Yarrowia lipolytica: one gene and its partners. The protein of the gene in region 4 binds, or shares a complex with, the protein of the main gene of each other region. Links are inferred from orthologs where the notes say so. Each region holds a gene or a part of one and is shown on either strand. Other genes may lie near its edges. The genes, in order: YALI1_E13823g, YALI1_F12422g, YALI1_E38113g and YALI1_D15333g.

Region 1 (3,926 bases), on a different chromosome or scaffold from region 4:
GTCTCTGTAGTCTTCCGGAGGTCTGGATCCTCTAGGGTCTCTTGATCTGGGCCCACCTCGGTCTCTGTGTCCTGGAAACAGATCCCGTCCTCCAGCTCCTCCCGGTGGCATTGGTGGACCGAGCGGTTTGCGTTCAGACTCCTTTGTGTAGTGTCTTCCGCCTTTTCCTCCTCCTAGTCGTCGAGGAAGCCATCCACTGACCGTACGGCCTCTCTCGACGTCAACCACCACTTTTCTGCCCTTGATGATCGATCCGTTGGTCATCTGAAATGCTTTTCGAAAATCGTCTTCCTCCTGGAATTCGACAAACCCATATCCGTTGCTCTTGCCGCTCTTTAGATCCCGTACAATACGTACGTGTTTGACAGGCCCAAACTTGATGTAATGTTCCTCCAGGTCGTTTTCAGTCACGTCGAACGCCAGACGCGCCACAAATAGCGTCTTGAACGGATCGCCCACAATCTTGTCGTCCTTCTTGGGATCCCATGCCTCTTTTCGTTCCTGCTGGGTCACCTTTTGGCGCTCACTTTTTAGCCGCTTCTCTCGCTGCTGTTTGACCAGCCACGACTCGGTCGGCACGTATTCCGAATCGGGCTGCTTCAACAGCTCCATATACGCCGAAACGCCTGAGATTTTCTGCGTTCTTCGGTCCTCAGGAGCATAGTCGATCGGCTCCAGGTACCGTGGCTCGGGACACTCGGGGAAGAGCCGCTGGATGTGAGGGGGTAGCCGTTCCAATTCAGCCTGGGTTAGCCTTGTTGTTGATTGCAGAGCAAATGTCGCGCAGATACTCACCATGATTATGGATGCTGTTAGTGTGTGTAGTGATGTTGATGGTCGTGATGTTGGTTTGAAATATTAGTGTTGTGCATCAGAAGTTTATCTGACATCGTGAGTAGGGTGAAGTGAGATGGGATTGAAGAGAGTTATACAAGAAAGGTAGAGAAGAAGTAAATACAAGGGGAAAGCGAACAGAATATCGTCGCTAGTTTGTTTTTCTAGGTTTTTTTTTGGATATATTCTTCTGAAGAAGACTTTTCAAGACGTGATCGAGTTTTTCAGACCTACAGTGTGCCCCAGGAAGAATCAGCGAGCTACAAGGCTGTTTGCAATAACAAGTACACTGTACTTGTACTATACTGACCATCCGCTCATACTACCGTCTCCACCCTCCCCTTGATACACAAATAAATACTTTACTATATACATTGCTGCTCTTTTGTCCTTCTAATCACAGGTCAGGAGGAAAGAGAGCAGCAGCAACAAGACCGGGACGCTCGGTGGCCAGAAGATCAAAGTTCTTGGCTCCGTTGGCACTGTCAGAGATCTCGACGGAGATTCCCAGAGAGTTGAGATAGTTTCGGGTCTTGGGCGACAGCACTCGCGACTTCTTTCCCAGGCCGAAGATGAGCAGCTCAGGACGAGGGTAGACAACCTCAAAGACACCCAGTGCAGCAGGATCGATTTCAACCAGACCGGTATCGAGACCCTTGACGCACTCGGGAGTAAGGTTCCAGGCCAGCACCTCAGAAAGGCCCATCAGAATGGCTCCAACGGGCTTCTTTCCGCTGGGAGACTTGCTCTTGAGCACCTTGTCGTCCTTGAACACAAAGCCGTTGGAAAGCACGGCCTCCACGTTGTTGTGGGCCGTCTCAAGATCGCCGTAGAGATCGTATTCGGCCAGAGCTCCTCCAGGACGAGCAGCCGTGTTTTCGAGCTTTCGCTTGGTTCGCTCCATGGGTCCCTCGCCCTTGAACCACGGGTTTTCGAGCTTGACGTTTTTCGCACACACCCGAGAGGTGTGGATCGAGCGGGACAAGATTCCGACGGCTCGTGTTCGCAGCATTGTTTTTGTCGTGAGAGCGAGTGAGTTGTGGTGTTCAAGACGACTTCAGCTTGGTCTTGATTCGCTCTGCATTGGAACCTTGTTGATGACTTCAGTGGCGGTAGTCGAAAGAGGCGGGAGAAGGCTAAGTAAACGTTTGACAATTAGCTAACTAATAAATGCCCCAACATTAGTAACTGTATTTGGCTTAGTTGAACTCTGAAGGGCAGATCAATACCCCCTCAAGCTCTTCTAATATTGGTAATTATTGTATGGAAGAATCCACACTGTCTCTATTGTTGTTTTTCTTCCATTTAAAATGCTCTCCTTCATATTAATTGTCTCTCATTACCAAGAATTACTCCTCCCCCCCTTCGGGCCTCCACAGTTACCCTACCTTTGCAAAATTACAGGAGCCTAAACGCAACGCACAGATCAATCTGAAATATCTACATTCAACACACAAAAATGTCGGCTCGACCAGCTTACCAGACTGTTGCCCGAAACCTCAACGGTGTCGGCAACTTTGTGCTTCAGTGCAAGAAGGTCACTTTCCGGTACTGCAACTGGGGTGGCTCTTCCGACGGAATGAGGTGAGTATCACAACGGGGAACTGAACTGTGACTTGGACACGGACATAGATGGAGGTACAGACATGCCAGTGGCACAAGTGGGGTGCTAGATGAAGAGCAGAATGCTACCCAGTGCGTGTGGTGTGACGTGTCATCTTTGTTTGGTCTTTGAATTCAGACATCCACCGCGTCTCAGATCACACTAACACAGACAATACCTGGACAAGAACCTGCAGAAGATTGCTGCTCAGAACCCCGAGATCGAGTTTGTGGCTGTCAAGGACATTGGCCACCCCTTCATCCGAGGCGAGTTTGTCAACGGTGCCGAGAAGACCATCTGCTGCAAGAACAAGCATCCCCGATTCATCAACGGCAAGTTTGAGATGCTCAAGAGCTCCGACGGAGCTCCCCGAAAGCAGATGAAGAGCCCCGTTGAAAGTATAAACGAGAGTGTCCGAGGTATCTGGTCTCCTTACCATACCGACCCCAAGGCACGACACAAGATTTAAATGTACATAGTAAATTATAGCATAGCGAAAGATGGTGAAAGAGCGAAGGACAATGGCCGATACGAATCGCCATAGTAGAGGTATGGAGCGAATGGTGGTGTGCAAGTGGCTTTTATACCATAACGGTTGTGACACAGTAGAAGCTCGTTTGTTGAATTGTGCGGCACTCCGACGATCTCTAACTACGATATATCGTGGAGCGCAAGTGAGAAGTACTTGTACGAGGCAAACAAGCGGTTGTACTACAAGTGTTCGTACGAGTACAGTACTCATAAGTACAGAACTTGTACCAACTTGTATGAAGTCACTCAATTACTATAGGGATGAACAGAAACACAACTACTGGAAGCAAAAGGGAGTGAAAGGAAACAGAACAGAAAACAGAAACAGAAACAGAAACAGAAACAGAAACAGAAACAGAAACAGGAAACAGAAACAGAAGCAACCTGAATGTTGTCAAAAGGATACTTGTAGTAGATTCAGCAAGGTGCAAGGTAACATCAACCTCGGCTACAGTAAACTTGGGAACTTGATTGAAGCTGTGTACATCACACAGTCTGGAATAACTTATTTCTATGCGTGCCTTTCCTCCGTCTATTTTACATGCCCAAAGTGGCTGCTCTCTTGTATCTTATGCTTTGTGTTGGGGGTCGAGCTGGTCTATGTCAGCCTCTCTATCATGACAGAAGGGATGCTCGAGTGCCTGTTCTGGGGTCATTCGCTTTTCGGGGTTGAGTGCAAAGAGCTTGTCTAATAGATCGATCAGATGGCCCTGTAGGATGATATCTGATCCGGTCTCTCTGCATTTGCCCAGCAGCTTTTTGACAGGCAGAGGAGCCTGGTTTTGTGTGTATCGTAGTGTATGTGTGATCATTCGTCCAGTATGGGGGTCCACTTCGTCGGACTTGAAGTCGAGGTTCTCGTCAAAGTACTTTTCCGTCAGCTTGCCTTTTTTAAGCTGCTTGTGGCTAAACTTGCCTCGCACGTCCATGATACACTTGATCATGTGGTTGTTGGACG
Region 2 (4,067 bases), on a different chromosome or scaffold from region 4:
ACCAGATCCTCGAGGTCGCCAAGCTTGTGCACCTCGTAGGAGGCCTCCGAGTTGCGGTTGTACTCCATTCCTAGTGGCACCGCATGAACTTCCTCCACATTGTCGTTTTCCCGCGCGTCAATCACCTCACAGAAGACGTTAGTACAGGGCTGCTGGTCTTCGGGCAGCAGATATCTTCTGAGAAGCGCGTTGCAGAAGGTCGACTTACCCGAGTTGACATCTCCGGTAATGAGCACCTTTGAGGCGGTATCGTCAATACGAACTCTCAAGTTGGACAAGTGCTTCATGCACTTTGTGATTCGTGTGTCGATGAGCACGCCTAGGGCTTCCTTGTCAAACTCGTGCACGTCCTTGGACGCTTTGGAGTCATCCACAATGGCGAGCTTGAAGATGTTGAACTCCGAGTCCACGGTGGGCAGTTCGTCGAACCCCTCAATGTAGCTTTGGCGTCTGTTCTGGGGAGCAGGAGTGATGTCTCGGGGGGCCTCGCCGAATATACTAACGTTCCGTAGTAGCTCGTTTCGGGGGTCTTGGATCGCCTGTAGGTCTGGAACCGGTGAGCTGTGTCTGGAAGAGGTGGCTGTGGGGGGCTGAGGGTTTGCCACTGGGGGGTAGTAGACCGGTCGGTCTCTGTTAACGTCCTGGAGCTCCCGTAGGATGCCCATCACGGCCGAGATACTTCGACCTAACGATATCCGGTTCTCATTGTACCGAAGCTGGCTCAGTTGGGCTTGTTGCATCTGGCGAGTCTCGCCACTGAGCCGTCGGTGCGAGCTGTCTGCGGCCTCCAGGGTCGAGCCATCAAACACAATGAGCTTCGACTTGTCGACCAGCTCGTCGGTGATGATGCTGCCGGACACAGAAGGCGCGTATCCCGAGTCATGGTCATTGGACCCTCTTCGGTGGTAGTTGTCGCTGTTGGCGTTGGAGTTGGCGTTGGCGTTGGACTCTCTGTTTCCGTCTTTACTGCTGCTGGGCTCTTGGCCCGGCGGGTAGTCGTACGGGTCTCTGTCGGACATGGCACACACGTTTCGAGGATATCCGTCTGATTTCAAAAGATTTGAGATGGTGAGTTAGCAAGTTACCCGGGAGAGATATTGGGACTGTTTAAGTTAGTTGCATAACTACAGTAAGTTGAAAGTCAACTGAAGAACCACTATAGCAGTGATGGGCAACTGGAAAAGGTGGCAAACAGAGACCGGGAGATCACGTGGGGGGCGGGCGGTCACGTGACCGGAATGGACGTTTCACAGCGCGCCCCTCTCCTTCCGTCCACATTCAGCTTTCTGTACTCTCTTTCTCATGCTGACGCTTGCAGTTGGTATCCACGTAATCAGCGGCTGAGATCAGGTCATTCGAAACAGCAAGGTTTCAGGAACCATCAAAACATGTGACCATACGAGGAGGTTGTTCTGGGGGCGTTTTGAGTCATGTGAGAGAATCAAAATGGCATTATTTGTTGCTAATTGAGTGGATATGGCACTATTTTCGTCTTGGGTTCTTTTTTCCCCCAAAAAAACGCACAATTTATCTCCGTCGGGGCTCTGATCTCGGGCGCATCGGATTTAGCAATGGCCTGTTTGGGCCTAATTTCGAGTTGAGTCGTAATCCCGCAGTGATGGTATTTTTTTTCTCGCAGTGATGTATTTTTTTCTTTTTTCCCCTCTTTTTTTGAAATAAACAATTTAATTGATAATTGCACTTGGGGTAAAGCAGATGTTAGAGGAGATTCGGGTTTTTATTGGTGGCTCTCACAAAAAAAAAATTCTTTTGAATTTTCGTACCTCCGTCTCCAATTAAATTGACCAATTTGCTGTTGATATCGGCTTAGTAATGTATGTCTTAGTTGGAATATTTAGTTGAATGATTAGTTTACTGAATGCATCATATTTTATGTATTGTGTATAAAAATATATATAATATGTTACAGTATATACAGTATATGTTATAAAAAAATACCCTAAGAAAAGTGAGAAAAAAAAAAGAAGAAAAAAAACATTACATTAACCGTGATTGCGGGTTCGATCCTCGAGCGCTAGATTATATCACATGCTCCGATTCTAATAAAACAAGACAATTCCGCCCCAAATATACGCCGTACATACTCGGTGGTATTTTCGTCTCTTGAATCCCCCCATTCACCGCCCCGCTTACATCATGTACCAATCTTCCAACTGAAACTTTTTCATACATACATCACCACTTCACACAACACCACACAAACACAATGATGTCGCTATTGAGACAGGTGCGGCACATGTCGACCGCCGCCAGCGCGCCCAGCGGGTTCCTCAAGGTGTCTGCCGAGCAGATCAAGCCCCTGCTGCTCGCCAACCAGCACATTTTCGCCAAGGTGCACATGCACAACAACGCCTACCTGGTGACCAAGGGCGACCAGATGCGACTGCCTTACCGGTTCAAGGGCCTCAAGGTGGGCGACGTGATCAACTTTGAGCACGTGAGCCAGATCGGCTCTCGGGATCACGTGTTCCAGGGTGACAAGTACATTTCCCAGGACCACTTCAACATCAAGGGCGTTGTGACTGCTCTCACTGCTGAGCCCATGACCACCCATGTTCACCATCGAATCAAGGACAAGGGTTACACTCGGACCCAGCGAAAGGTGCCCCAGACCATCATTCGAATTAGCGAGCTGGAACTCAAGGCTTAGAAGAGGAAGTTGAAATTACGAGTGGAGCGAGTAATTTGGTTCTTCTGCGTTATGTATATAGGAATGCATTTATTGCGTAAAGGAACGACACCGGGCGACACAGGTGCTACTGTCCAACGAGCACTGGCTATCATGTGCAGTTGTGGGTCGTGATCTACAACTGAGATCAGTATGTGAATGGAAGGCAACAATTGAGGTTGTAGTGAGGTCATTATATAGTGGGGGTATCGATAAAGTGTCTGGAGTTGAAAAGTTGCAGACGAATATCTCCATTTGGTATTTTGCTTGGTACGGTGAATTGATGATTGTAGCCATACTAGGTACCAGTGTGACTATGGAGGATGGGGGATCTAAGAGGGTCTAAGATCTAAGGTCTAGATCTAAGAAGGTCTAAACATGTTAATAGAGGTCTCTACAGATGCTGAGATACACGTGTCTAGTCACCATCTTCAATTACCGGTCAAATACTCCCCAATATCTCTCCCTCACTTCGTCACCAAATCTAAACAAAACAGTTGAGGATTTATTTGACTCGGTTGTCCCAGTTGGGTGCGGCTTTAACGAAGAGAGGACGGATTAATGTGGCTGAACTTGCTCCAAAAGTGACCTTTTTGGAACGGGGAAAAACGGAATTAACTCATAACCAGATTTATGACGCTTTGCACTCTTCACTTTCCCCCATAATCTCCTTCAACCCCCTCAACCTCTCTCGTTCTGACCCCGATAAACTTAAACTCCCTGCAAACACGAGACCACGCACTCCAGCATCTCACCACTACTTGTACAGTACAAGCACCCGTACACGGAACCATGGGCGAGTTCCATATCAACCTGATTCCGACGTACGACGACGCTCATAATCTCACGGACGATCTGCAGTCCGTGTCGTCGTCGCCGTACTCGGTGACCGTGCCCAAAAACCGACTTCGTTCGCGCAGCGACTTGTCTGAGGTCGCAGACCGATCTGTGTCCACTGGAGCTCTGGAGCGACTGGTTCCGAACCCAAACAAGATCCGCGTCGACCGACGTGTCGTGAGTGATACCAATGGTGACTCGAATGCCAACTCGGGTCCCAGTCTCACGCACCATCTTTCCCATGCCAATCTTAACACTTACAACAACAACAGCAGTACCAACAACTTGCAGACTCCGCAGAAGCTCAAGTCGTCTGTTTCCTACTCTTCGCTACATCGCACACCCAACAACAACAACTTTGACACCTCGTTCCAGTCTCTGCAGTCCGAACAGTCGTTCCATACCGCGCCGTCTCCAGACGGAGTGCTGTCGTCAAGTCCTAACGAGACCAGACTCAAATTCCAGAAAAGCAGAGACATTTTACGCCAGGGAGCCCCGTCTCCCCTCAATCTCACGCCGGGGAATAGATCTGTGAACGCCA
Region 3 (4,559 bases), on a different chromosome or scaffold from region 4:
AGTATTTGAACTCTAGTCGCTCAGACCATAGTCTTCGTAATCGTCATCGTCATCTTCTTTATCTGCGAGATCCTTCATGGCAGACTTGACGCCCTCAAAGTCGGCAACCTCGAAACCCTCAATCTTGAACTCGCCATCCTCAAAGTACATGGTGACAATCAGATCTTCATCTTCGTCCTCCTCGGCCTTATCTGGCATCTGTTTAGATTCTGCCTCAGCTGTGGAGAGTGTTTGAGTCCGGAAGAAGGTCTGTGTTGAAGTGACAGTGTCAGTTCCATCATCTTCAGCTGAGTCCACAGCTTTTTCCTCCACCGAGGCCTCCACTTGCTTTTTGGCCTCTTCCCTCTTAGTCGAGGCAGCTTCCTTCTTCTTGGCCAGCTTCTTGGACTGCTTGGCCTCCTTGTTAAGCTGCTTCATAACTTCATCAGTAGCTCTGGCAAGGACATCCTCGATCCCAGCGTCATCTAACATAGTAAGACCCTGGATCTCCAGGTTTGACATGTCGCCCTGTTCCTGCCACCATGCATACTTCTCTTCGAGAGTCACATCATCATCGTTAATGCTGAGCAGCAGCTGCTGACGAGTGATCATGAGACGCACCTCAAAGTGGCGGTTGATGGGAGCAGGAACAAACATGGATCTGGTCTGGATGATGAAAGGAGCATCATGAGAAGGAGTGGCAATGCCAAGCTCCTTGAACAGTGTCTGTCTATTGACGCAGTCGCCGAGCCAGACTCCAATGTAGTTGAGAGCTCGAGCTTTGGTGAATCTCCATGCAACCTCAATCTCGTCAATCTTGTCCTTGTTGACATTGGATCCGACAAACTGGTGGGCACGAGCCGAGACAGCCTCCTGCTCCTCCTTCACGTGAGCAACGCCGTCAAACATGCCGTCAATGGTCTCAAACTCGGGGGCCTCAGACTCGACGCTGTAGCACATGATGGGCAAAGACTCATCTGGAGGAGGCTGAAACCTCATGTCTTTACAGAGGCGCGGGGTGCCGACCTGCATGACGTAGTTGCACGTTCGCTTCTCCTTGATCCACAGTATATGGTCATGCTGGACGTTTTTGTCACATACAAACTGAACCTCGATTTCTCGGTTGGCGCCGGTCAGAGGACAATGGGTTCCCGAACGGAGTCTATGGGCCAGAAAGGGGATTCCTCCGGCACTGGTGACCGTGTTGGTCGTATCGTCCTTCTCGAAGCTACCGAGCACGAACGTGGGCGAATCGTCTGCCTGAGGAGGAGGATAGATTCGAGGGAAGTAATTGTCTCCATGTCTTCGATACTGAACGACTCCCGAGCCGTAACAGAAACGATACGAGAAGAATCCCTGTTCGTAGAAGAGACAGTCACCCAGAAGAGGCAACATGAGCTCCAAAGCTCTGTCTCGGGCCTCTGTTGGCGACAGTTCTCCCTCCTCTCGTGATTTTGAGCTCTTCGTGGTCGTGACTTCCGGAATACCGCAGATGTGGTTTGTGCCGTTGAATTGCATCATCTCGTACCCCAGGGGATGGCCATATACCGGATCTCGATGCGGTAGCAGGCCGTTCTGGACATCTGCTTGTCGCAATGGTCGGTTGTGGAACTGTACTGTGAATTGTGGGTCGGCAAAGAGATCGTCTCCTATGTTGAAGGTTGCTGCGAGCGACGAGCTTGCTATCAATGCCAGGGACTTTAACAACATGGCATGTGGCGAACTTGTGAGCTGGTGGTGGTGATTTCAATGTTAGTTACAGCTGTACTTGAACAGCACACGTCATGTCAGTTCAGCATGAATTAAGCGCAGTGGGAGATGCTGTTAGGCATTCAATAAGTGTCATAGGAGAATTTTTAATAAATATAATAAAATCACAGTAAATCGTTAGTCTGAACGAATTATTATATTTATATTTTCGTTTTTTACTCTTAAATCACTATTACAGCAATAAGCCGCCTCGTACACTCACCCCATCTCCATTACTGTATGTACGCTCATGTACCGAAATTGAGTTCATTCTAAGTATATGATTGGCTTAGTAAGCTTAACATGTTCAAGAAAAAATATGGAAGGTACAAGTACTTATATAGAGAAAACTACTTGGCCAAGGACACACTTTTGAATAATGACACAGAAAAAATCTATTGCTTTGAAACGACCTCAGCTGATCTGTCATTATTAGTACTTATAGCACCACCTGAATCACTGTCACTCCATCCCTACACTCTCTCCTCCCAATGTGCATGTTTTAACTCTGAAAAATTCCACAGGTCAATATCACATCTTCACACACAGCAGCCATGATTAGATCGACTGTTCGGCTGGCGCCACGAGGAGCAAGATTTATCACCAACAACAGTGGCTCTGCCGAGACTCTGCGGGTGGCCGACGAGAAGCTGGCCCAGATTCTCACCGGCGGCTCCACGTCCGGAGCACACACCTCCATCAAGGATCTGAACAAGCGAGCTCTGTACAAGAGTCCCCCTGGTCTGGATGCAATCTTCCCCGCTGCTCTGAAGATTGTCGAGGAGAAGAGCGCTGCCATCAAGAAGCAGGCCGAGGAGATTGCTAAGGAGTTCGAGGCTTCTGGAGACAAGGCTCTCAAGGACCAGTACATCAAGCTCATGGGCAAGGCCGAGGTCCACAACCCCCAGGTGATGATGAACCACGTGAACGGCAATGTCGATATGAATCACCCCGTCTACCGACATCTTGCCGAGGCCGACTACAAGAAGTACGAGCAGATTCTGCTGGTCGAGAGTCTAGAGACCATGCATGTCATTCCCGACACCATGCCCGTGATTGACGCCAAGGCTCGAGTTCGAGTCAACTTCCCCGGCAACGAGAAGGGCAAGTGGATCACTCCCGGAACACTGCAATCCACCGAGCTCACCTCCGAGCTGCCCATCGTCGAGATCCAGGAATTCGAGGACATCCCCAAGGACGCCAAGTACACAGTCCTGCTGGTTGATCCCGACTACCCCGTCCCTGAGACCGAGTCCTTTGGTACCAAGGTCCACTGGGCCGTGTCCAACGTGCCCATTTCCGTCGATCAGCCTCTTGTGAAGCCCGAGCTCGGAGACACTCTGGTCAAGTATGTGCCCTCCACCCCCGAGAAGAACTCTGGAGACCACCGAATGTCTCTGTGGGTGTTCCGACAGGACGGTGACGTCAAGGACTCTCTTTCGCATTCCGACTTCTTCGACATCCGGGGCTTTGCCGACAAGCATAAGCTGACCTCTGTGGGCGCTTTCTTCTGGCGAAACCGGTTCGACATGTTTGCCGAGAGCCTGCGGGAGAAGTTTGGCCTTGGAAGCGGCCGAGTGTTTGGAATGTCCAGAACTGGCGAGGACGTTCCCCGATAAGTGTATATAGTCAGAATCAGAACAAGCACCTCGTGCTTGTATTCGTAATGTGAAGAGTTACATCAACATGTCTATATTGTAAGATAACCATGGAAAGATCAGATCTAAAGGGTGGCTTAAATCAATTGAACATGGAGAACTTTTTTCGTATCTGGTATTCAAGGCTCCATCTACCATTTGTACTTGTAGTACGTCATACTGTGTCCAACTACACTCAACTACAACCCACATTCAAGTCACATACATAAATCAAATTGAAGGGAGCTGCGCAAGGCGTGCCACCAAAGAGGGAAAAGAACCGCTGGTAAGCCACTTCGCCTCATAACCTGTCCAAATGGTCAATTAATTACATGCTCGTCGAGCTTTTCGATGCATAAATAATACGCTTAGGCCTTCTCGGGGAAAGCGTGGTTGAGGTAGGCTTCAATGTCGAACTTGTCGTCAGAGATATCGGTAACAACACCGGTGGAGGCGACGGGGGCGGGGTGGAGTCGGGCCCACTCGGCCTTGGCCTGCTCAATGAGCTTCTCCTGCTTCTTGAACTTGGCATCAGCCACCTTCTTCTCAGCCTGGGAGTAGAGGGTTCGGTTGTGAACGAAGCCGTAGACGACACCGGCACCGAGGGCGGACCATCGCAGAACGTTGAGAGTGGCAGACATCTTTTCGGTTGTGTAATGTATGAGGTATTGGACCTTCAGTATGTGTGGTGGTGGTGTGTTCCGACTGCAGAGGTAAAATATGACAATGCGCCGTTGGCCAATGGGAGCACAAATATAAGTAGGGTAACTAACTCTATTGATCCTCGTGTTGTTATCAAACAAGGAGGCTGGTTAAGTAGTTAGTGGGGGAATGGTGACCAAAGATGAACTCCGATGGTGGTTTTGTTGCCAATTCGTTTTTCCAACAATTTCAGAGTTTTTTTTCCTCCCTATATCTGCTTCATGGCCTCCACCCCAGCTGGCCTTCATTAATCTCCTGTGTACATGCGAGGTTCGAACTGACTCCTTCTCTCAAATGCCTCTTTAGTTCACACAGTGTTCAAATCTTTAAGTGCACATTTTTTTTCGGTGACAGCTTTCCACTGAGTGAAAGTCTAATCCAAAATGAACGTGTCCCAACATGCATGCTGTCAATGCTACACAATCGACACTTTGATATCTCGACAGCTCCTATACCAACATGCTTCTAATCGCCCTGCTGCCCTCAATTGTT
Region 4 (4,436 bases):
GCTGGTTTTAGATACGGAAAGTAAGAGCTGCAACGCCGCACAAGTGATTCGGTTCTGTTTCGAGGCTCTCACTGTTCTCCTGGCCACTGAGCCCAAGCTTCCCACCTGCTCGGGACAGCTTCAACATGACTACCCCGAGTTCATCACTCAGGTCACCAACTACCTTGTTTTTGCACAGAAGGAGTACCCTGCCAAACGAAAGCTCAAGGAGATTCAGACTTCTGTTCTGGAGGTCACGGACTACCCTCATGTCAAGAGTGCCACTATTGAGCTTCTGTCTTCCATTCTTCAAATTGCATCTGCTACTTCGAAACAGCAGCTGGCAATGGTGCAGAGTCTCATCTGGAAGGCAGGAGGTCTCCCTGAAATTCTCAACTGCTGCAACATTGACGCCAACAATCCGTTTTTGAAAGAACGAGGAGTGGTTTGTCTACGATATGTCATGGAGGGCAACGAGGAGGCCCAGAAGTTTGTAGCAGATCTGGAGGCCCAATCACAGGCCCAGAAGCTCGACCCTAAAAACGAGGAGTCGTTGCCGTAAGCGACGAGGGATAGTGACATAGAAACAGGAGCATACCAATAGCATTGCGCACTGTCTAACTACACCACGTACTTCTTGTATGTGATTATGAGTGTAGGAACGGTAAATAGGGCACTGTATGTTAGCTACCGGCATGTTCGTGACCTGGCAATAACAAGATATGACTGCCTAAACCCAGGTTCTTCTTTTGATCAGAGATGTAACCGTTGCGCAACATATACAATGCACTCACTCGTAAGATAGGGTCAAAAGTCAGCTACTTGTACGTTACCCACATAATTTTTCAAAACAACTTCATTTTCATCATGCAAACGCACTGCAACTTCTGCTACTACTAGCTATATACAATTAGTGAACAAACTCCTTCTGGAAGGCAATGTCCTCGGAAAAGTGGGCGTCCTTGGGGGCAAGAACATAGTCAATACCCTTTCGCTGGACGTTGTAGACCTTGACCAGCTTGCCTTTGCCCTTCTTGGCGGCCTTGACCACCTCCTCGTGGGGCTGCACGGCCTCCAGAAGCGATGCGGTGACCTTGAACTCGTCGGCCAGCTGCTCCTTCTGGCTCTGGCTCAGGTAGACAGTGGCGTCGAGGATCTTGTCGATTTTGGCGATCTGAGAGAGCGAGATGAACGCGTTGGGCTGTCGCACCTTGGTCAGCTTGTCTCGGGTCTCGTTGAGCTCCTTCTCCACGGTCTCGGGGCTGCTCTTGGGCACCACGGTTCCAAACTTGGTGACCTCAAACTTGGCATCAAAGTCCTTGACGTCAGAAGAAGTGTTGAGAAAGGCGTCGGCAAACCGAGCAGCCTCAGCGTTGGTCCATCCCAGAGTTCGGTAGTGGGCCATCTTTTGGGCTCGAGCAGCCAGCTCACTGTTATCGAAGCCCAGCTCCTTGAGCTTGGCAGCCAGCTTGTCGGTGAGGGCCTGCTCCTCAGCCTGCTTGACGGCCCGACGCTCGGAAATCTCCTCCAGCAGCTGCTGCTCCTTGTTGGGTCTCCATGCGAGCTCGGCCTCGGCTCTCTTGGGGTCGGAAATCACATTTCGGCCAAACCGTCGAGCTCGGGGAGCCATGTGGTCGGTGGGAAGTCGGGCTTCAGGGGTCAGACCGACGCCGACGAAACGACGGGTGGGGTGGAACGGATCATAGTAGAATCGCACGTATCCAGGCTCCTTGGCGTAGATGGTGTGATCTCGACCGATCCATGTGTTCTCGCCAGGGTAAAACTTGGTTCCTCGCTGTCGGTAGATGATGTCCGAGGGCTGGACATAGGTTCCCTCGGTGGCCTTGACACCCAGTCGTCGACCAATAGAGTCCTTGAGGTTGGTCTTACCTCCTCCAGCTCGCTTGGTGGCATGTCGCACGAGAGGCAAGGCCAAAAGAGACACGGCCTGGGGGCCCGAAAGGGACACAGAGAAGGCAGCGCCGGCGGCAGCCCGGGCACGGACCGCGGACTTAACTCCTGAAAGTCGCAGCATTGTGGTTCTGAAGAGTGTGTGGGTTTTCAGCGATTTCTGCGTGCACTGTTGGGACTCTCTACAATGGTTCAATGCTAATTTTCACGTCACGTGCAGTGGAAAAGTTTATTTTCGGATGACACTGGGTAGACGGTGCAAGGGGCGTAGATTGACAAACTTAGAGGAGCAGCAAGGGCTTTCGAGATGACGGGCCATCAAACATGATTGTAGAGCTTAGGGAAGGGGTACCGATATTTGGGTGATTTAGTTGAGACCCAATTGGAATGTTTGGCGTCGTGAATTCTACTTGGAGTGCGTATACTAGATCGGCACGCATAACTCGTTAGTTAAGCATGTAGTTGGGGTTAGTTGAGAAAGTAGTTATGGTTAGTTGATAAAGTAGTTAGGGTTAGTTGAAGAGATGCTGTTGAAGAGAGTGGCTGAGGATTTCGAGACACTCACACAACGATGGCTCCAGCGAATGCACCAGTGTGGACAACTGCCCTGAACAATGCACTGGTGTATCCTTACCCATTGCCATTAATATATCTGGTTATAACAACATCGGCGGTAATACAAGATACATACTTGTAGTTCTATCTCAGAAGTCTCCTCCTACAAATTAATAGCCTTGACTTACTCGTGATGTACAGAACCATTTGATTGAACGACATAGTAAAACCAATGGTATCTTCTCTGTCACACGAGATAATATTCCACACACACGAGAAAATAAACCGCACAAGCGTATTGCTCGGGCCGTTCACGCTTTCTGTCGAACGCACTAATTACAGTGTAAGGACAAGATAACGACCAGAATGAGATCCGAAGACGTCTCATGGGGGGTATCGCAGATTTAGATGAGCAACGGCAAGGGTACGTACGTATACGATTAGACACACAGTGGTAGTTTTTTCTGGGGGTTATCGACATTTGGTCATGATATATCCACTACACTGGTATGTATGTACTCCTACAGTATGTGCAGTTATTGGTTGCTTGTACTATGGCCGCGATAGCAGCAGTTAGTTGTGGCGATTCTGAACAGTGTCCCAGTTAAATATTTACATAATAGTTTATCTTTTCTATCCAGGAATATCAAATGTACAAGTACGAAGATGGATACCGAATATGAGCATACCAGATAGAATATCTCGGTTCAATACAACACTGCGATCTTTTTCAGACCGAGATCAGGCAAACAAAAAGCTCATCGCCTCAAGCAGCTTTCGATGCTTTCGATGACAAGGAACTGTCCATCCAAGTAATTATTGGAACATGAGTCTCGGTACGGGAGTGATGAGAAAGATGGCGAGTAAGAGGGCGTCTGGCTATTGAGAAGATTCAATAACTTGATATACTGTACAACACAAGTAGGAGTGTCGGTACTCTTCCAGATCATTGTCAAAACCAAGCATTAGACTTGTTTCTTTTATCGTGTTTTATCTAATACCACGTTGCTCAAGAACAGTTGAATGGAAAGCTTTGGCAAGGGTGACAAACCGCTAGTTTCCATTCTGAGGGACAAATTCGCTCAGCCGTTTGTTATATATCCAAGGGCTCCTTTCATATTGTCGACGACCCCCTTATGGCTCTGACAGAGCAAACCAGGGCTCCCAACACCAACGAAGACACGGCATATCGATGTGGAGAGTCGTACAAGGAATGTGTTGTCATTCCTGCACCTAGTCCCGAGCTCTTCACCAACAAACACTATTCTCCATCGTTTGATGAAGAGCAGTTCCAGGACCTTGTCAGGCAGTCTAACTACATTTTCCGCCAGTTGGAGTTTTGATACATACGTTTGACTTCATCCTTCAGGTCTGCAGATATAAAGTATTGATTTGCAGTGAGAGAAAAAGATGGACTACCAGCATAGTATGTATGTCCTGGTACATAGTAGAATCACCTCCGTCTCTCAAGACGGCTTATTCCTCCAATCAGATCATTGAAGCCGTATATCACCACAAGGATTAGTTACAAGCCCTGATGAACTTGTTGTCTTTTCCTGGTAAGCTGCAAGCTGCGCTTGTGAACGCCCATCGCCATGATCACTGAGCATGACCCATCCCACTCTTACGTCCAGTATGCTGTACTAACAAGAACCACTTTTGTTTCATCTTGCAATGCTTCATTCCCTCAGCCAGAGCAACATCTGCAGGGCGACCAGACGTCTCCAAGAAGTCAGCGAGACATCCAGCATAGTCTCTATGGATGATTCGACACTGGCTCTTGTTTCCGTCAATATCACGCTCCTCCCAACCGTTACCCCTCTTGGCACAGTCCCAAGATACCTCTGGCCCTGAGTATTTGGCCATGGTGTGCAAGGCGAGTCTGTAGAGCATCATGTCGCGCTTGTTGATGAAGACAATATCGTCTTCCAGCAGCATGCACAGTTCGTGGGAGCCGTTGGAGCAGTCTCGCAGCGTCTGGGCGTACTTGT

The links.
Region 1: YALI1_D15333g (region 4) and YALI1_E13823g share a complex: the UniProt entries of both Saccharomyces cerevisiae proteins name them as parts of the mitochondrial large ribosomal subunit. The link is inferred for Yarrowia lipolytica from reciprocal best matches to the Saccharomyces cerevisiae genes MRP7 and MRPL51.
Region 2: YALI1_D15333g (region 4) and YALI1_F12422g share a complex: the UniProt entries of both Saccharomyces cerevisiae proteins name them as parts of the mitochondrial large ribosomal subunit. The link is inferred for Yarrowia lipolytica from reciprocal best matches to the Saccharomyces cerevisiae genes MRP7 and MRPL49.
Region 3: YALI1_D15333g (region 4) and YALI1_E38113g share a complex: the UniProt entries of both Saccharomyces cerevisiae proteins name them as parts of the mitochondrial large ribosomal subunit. The link is inferred for Yarrowia lipolytica from reciprocal best matches to the Saccharomyces cerevisiae genes MRP7 and MRPL35.

What each region holds. Positions count from the first base shown.
Region 1 is NC_090774.1:1,380,005-1,383,930, forward strand, and holds YALI1_E13823g (mitochondrial 54S ribosomal protein mL43), read left to right. Parts: upstream 1-2,293; coding exon 2,294-2,418; intron 2,419-2,608; coding exon 2,609-2,906; downstream 2,907-3,926. Other genes in the region: YALI1_E13808g (uncharacterized protein), read right to left, coding at 1-798; YALI1_E13818g (uncharacterized protein), read right to left, coding at 1,232-1,846; YALI1_E13848g (uncharacterized protein), read right to left, coding at 3,538-3,926. UniProt on the Saccharomyces cerevisiae protein: Component of the mitochondrial ribosome (mitoribosome), a dedicated translation machinery responsible for the synthesis of mitochondrial genome-encoded proteins, including at least some of the essential transmembrane subunits of the mitochondrial respiratory chain.
Region 2 is NC_090775.1:1,240,366-1,244,432, reverse strand, and holds YALI1_F12422g (mitochondrial 54S ribosomal protein bL21m), read left to right. Parts: upstream 1-2,227; coding exon 2,228-2,671; downstream 2,672-4,067. Other genes in the region: YALI1_F12434g (uncharacterized protein), read right to left, coding at 1-1,019; YALI1_F12430g (uncharacterized protein), read left to right, coding at 1,239-1,321, 1,369-1,642; YALI1_F12365g (uncharacterized protein), read left to right, coding at 3,482-4,067. UniProt on the Saccharomyces cerevisiae protein: Component of the mitochondrial ribosome (mitoribosome), a dedicated translation machinery responsible for the synthesis of mitochondrial genome-encoded proteins, including at least some of the essential transmembrane subunits of the mitochondrial respiratory chain.
Region 3 is NC_090774.1:3,809,077-3,813,635, forward strand, and holds YALI1_E38113g (mitochondrial 54S ribosomal protein mL38), read left to right. Parts: upstream 1-2,282; coding exon 2,283-3,347; downstream 3,348-4,559. Other genes in the region: YALI1_E38107g (uncharacterized protein), read right to left, coding at 13-1,689; YALI1_E38131g (uncharacterized protein), read right to left, coding at 3,734-4,006; YALI1_E38136g (uncharacterized protein), read left to right, coding at 4,527-4,559. UniProt on the Saccharomyces cerevisiae protein: Component of the mitochondrial ribosome (mitoribosome), a dedicated translation machinery responsible for the synthesis of mitochondrial genome-encoded proteins, including at least some of the essential transmembrane subunits of the mitochondrial respiratory chain.
Region 4 is NC_090773.1:1,530,915-1,535,350, reverse strand, and holds YALI1_D15333g (mitochondrial 54S ribosomal protein bL27m), read right to left. Parts: upstream 2,015-4,436; coding exon 890-2,014; downstream 1-889. Other genes in the region: YALI1_D15362g (uncharacterized protein), read left to right, coding at 1-541; YALI1_D15345g (uncharacterized protein), read left to right, coding at 629-740, 785-879; YALI1_D15304g (uncharacterized protein), read right to left, coding at 4,045-4,436. UniProt on the Saccharomyces cerevisiae protein: Component of the mitochondrial ribosome (mitoribosome), a dedicated translation machinery responsible for the synthesis of mitochondrial genome-encoded proteins, including at least some of the essential transmembrane subunits of the mitochondrial respiratory chain.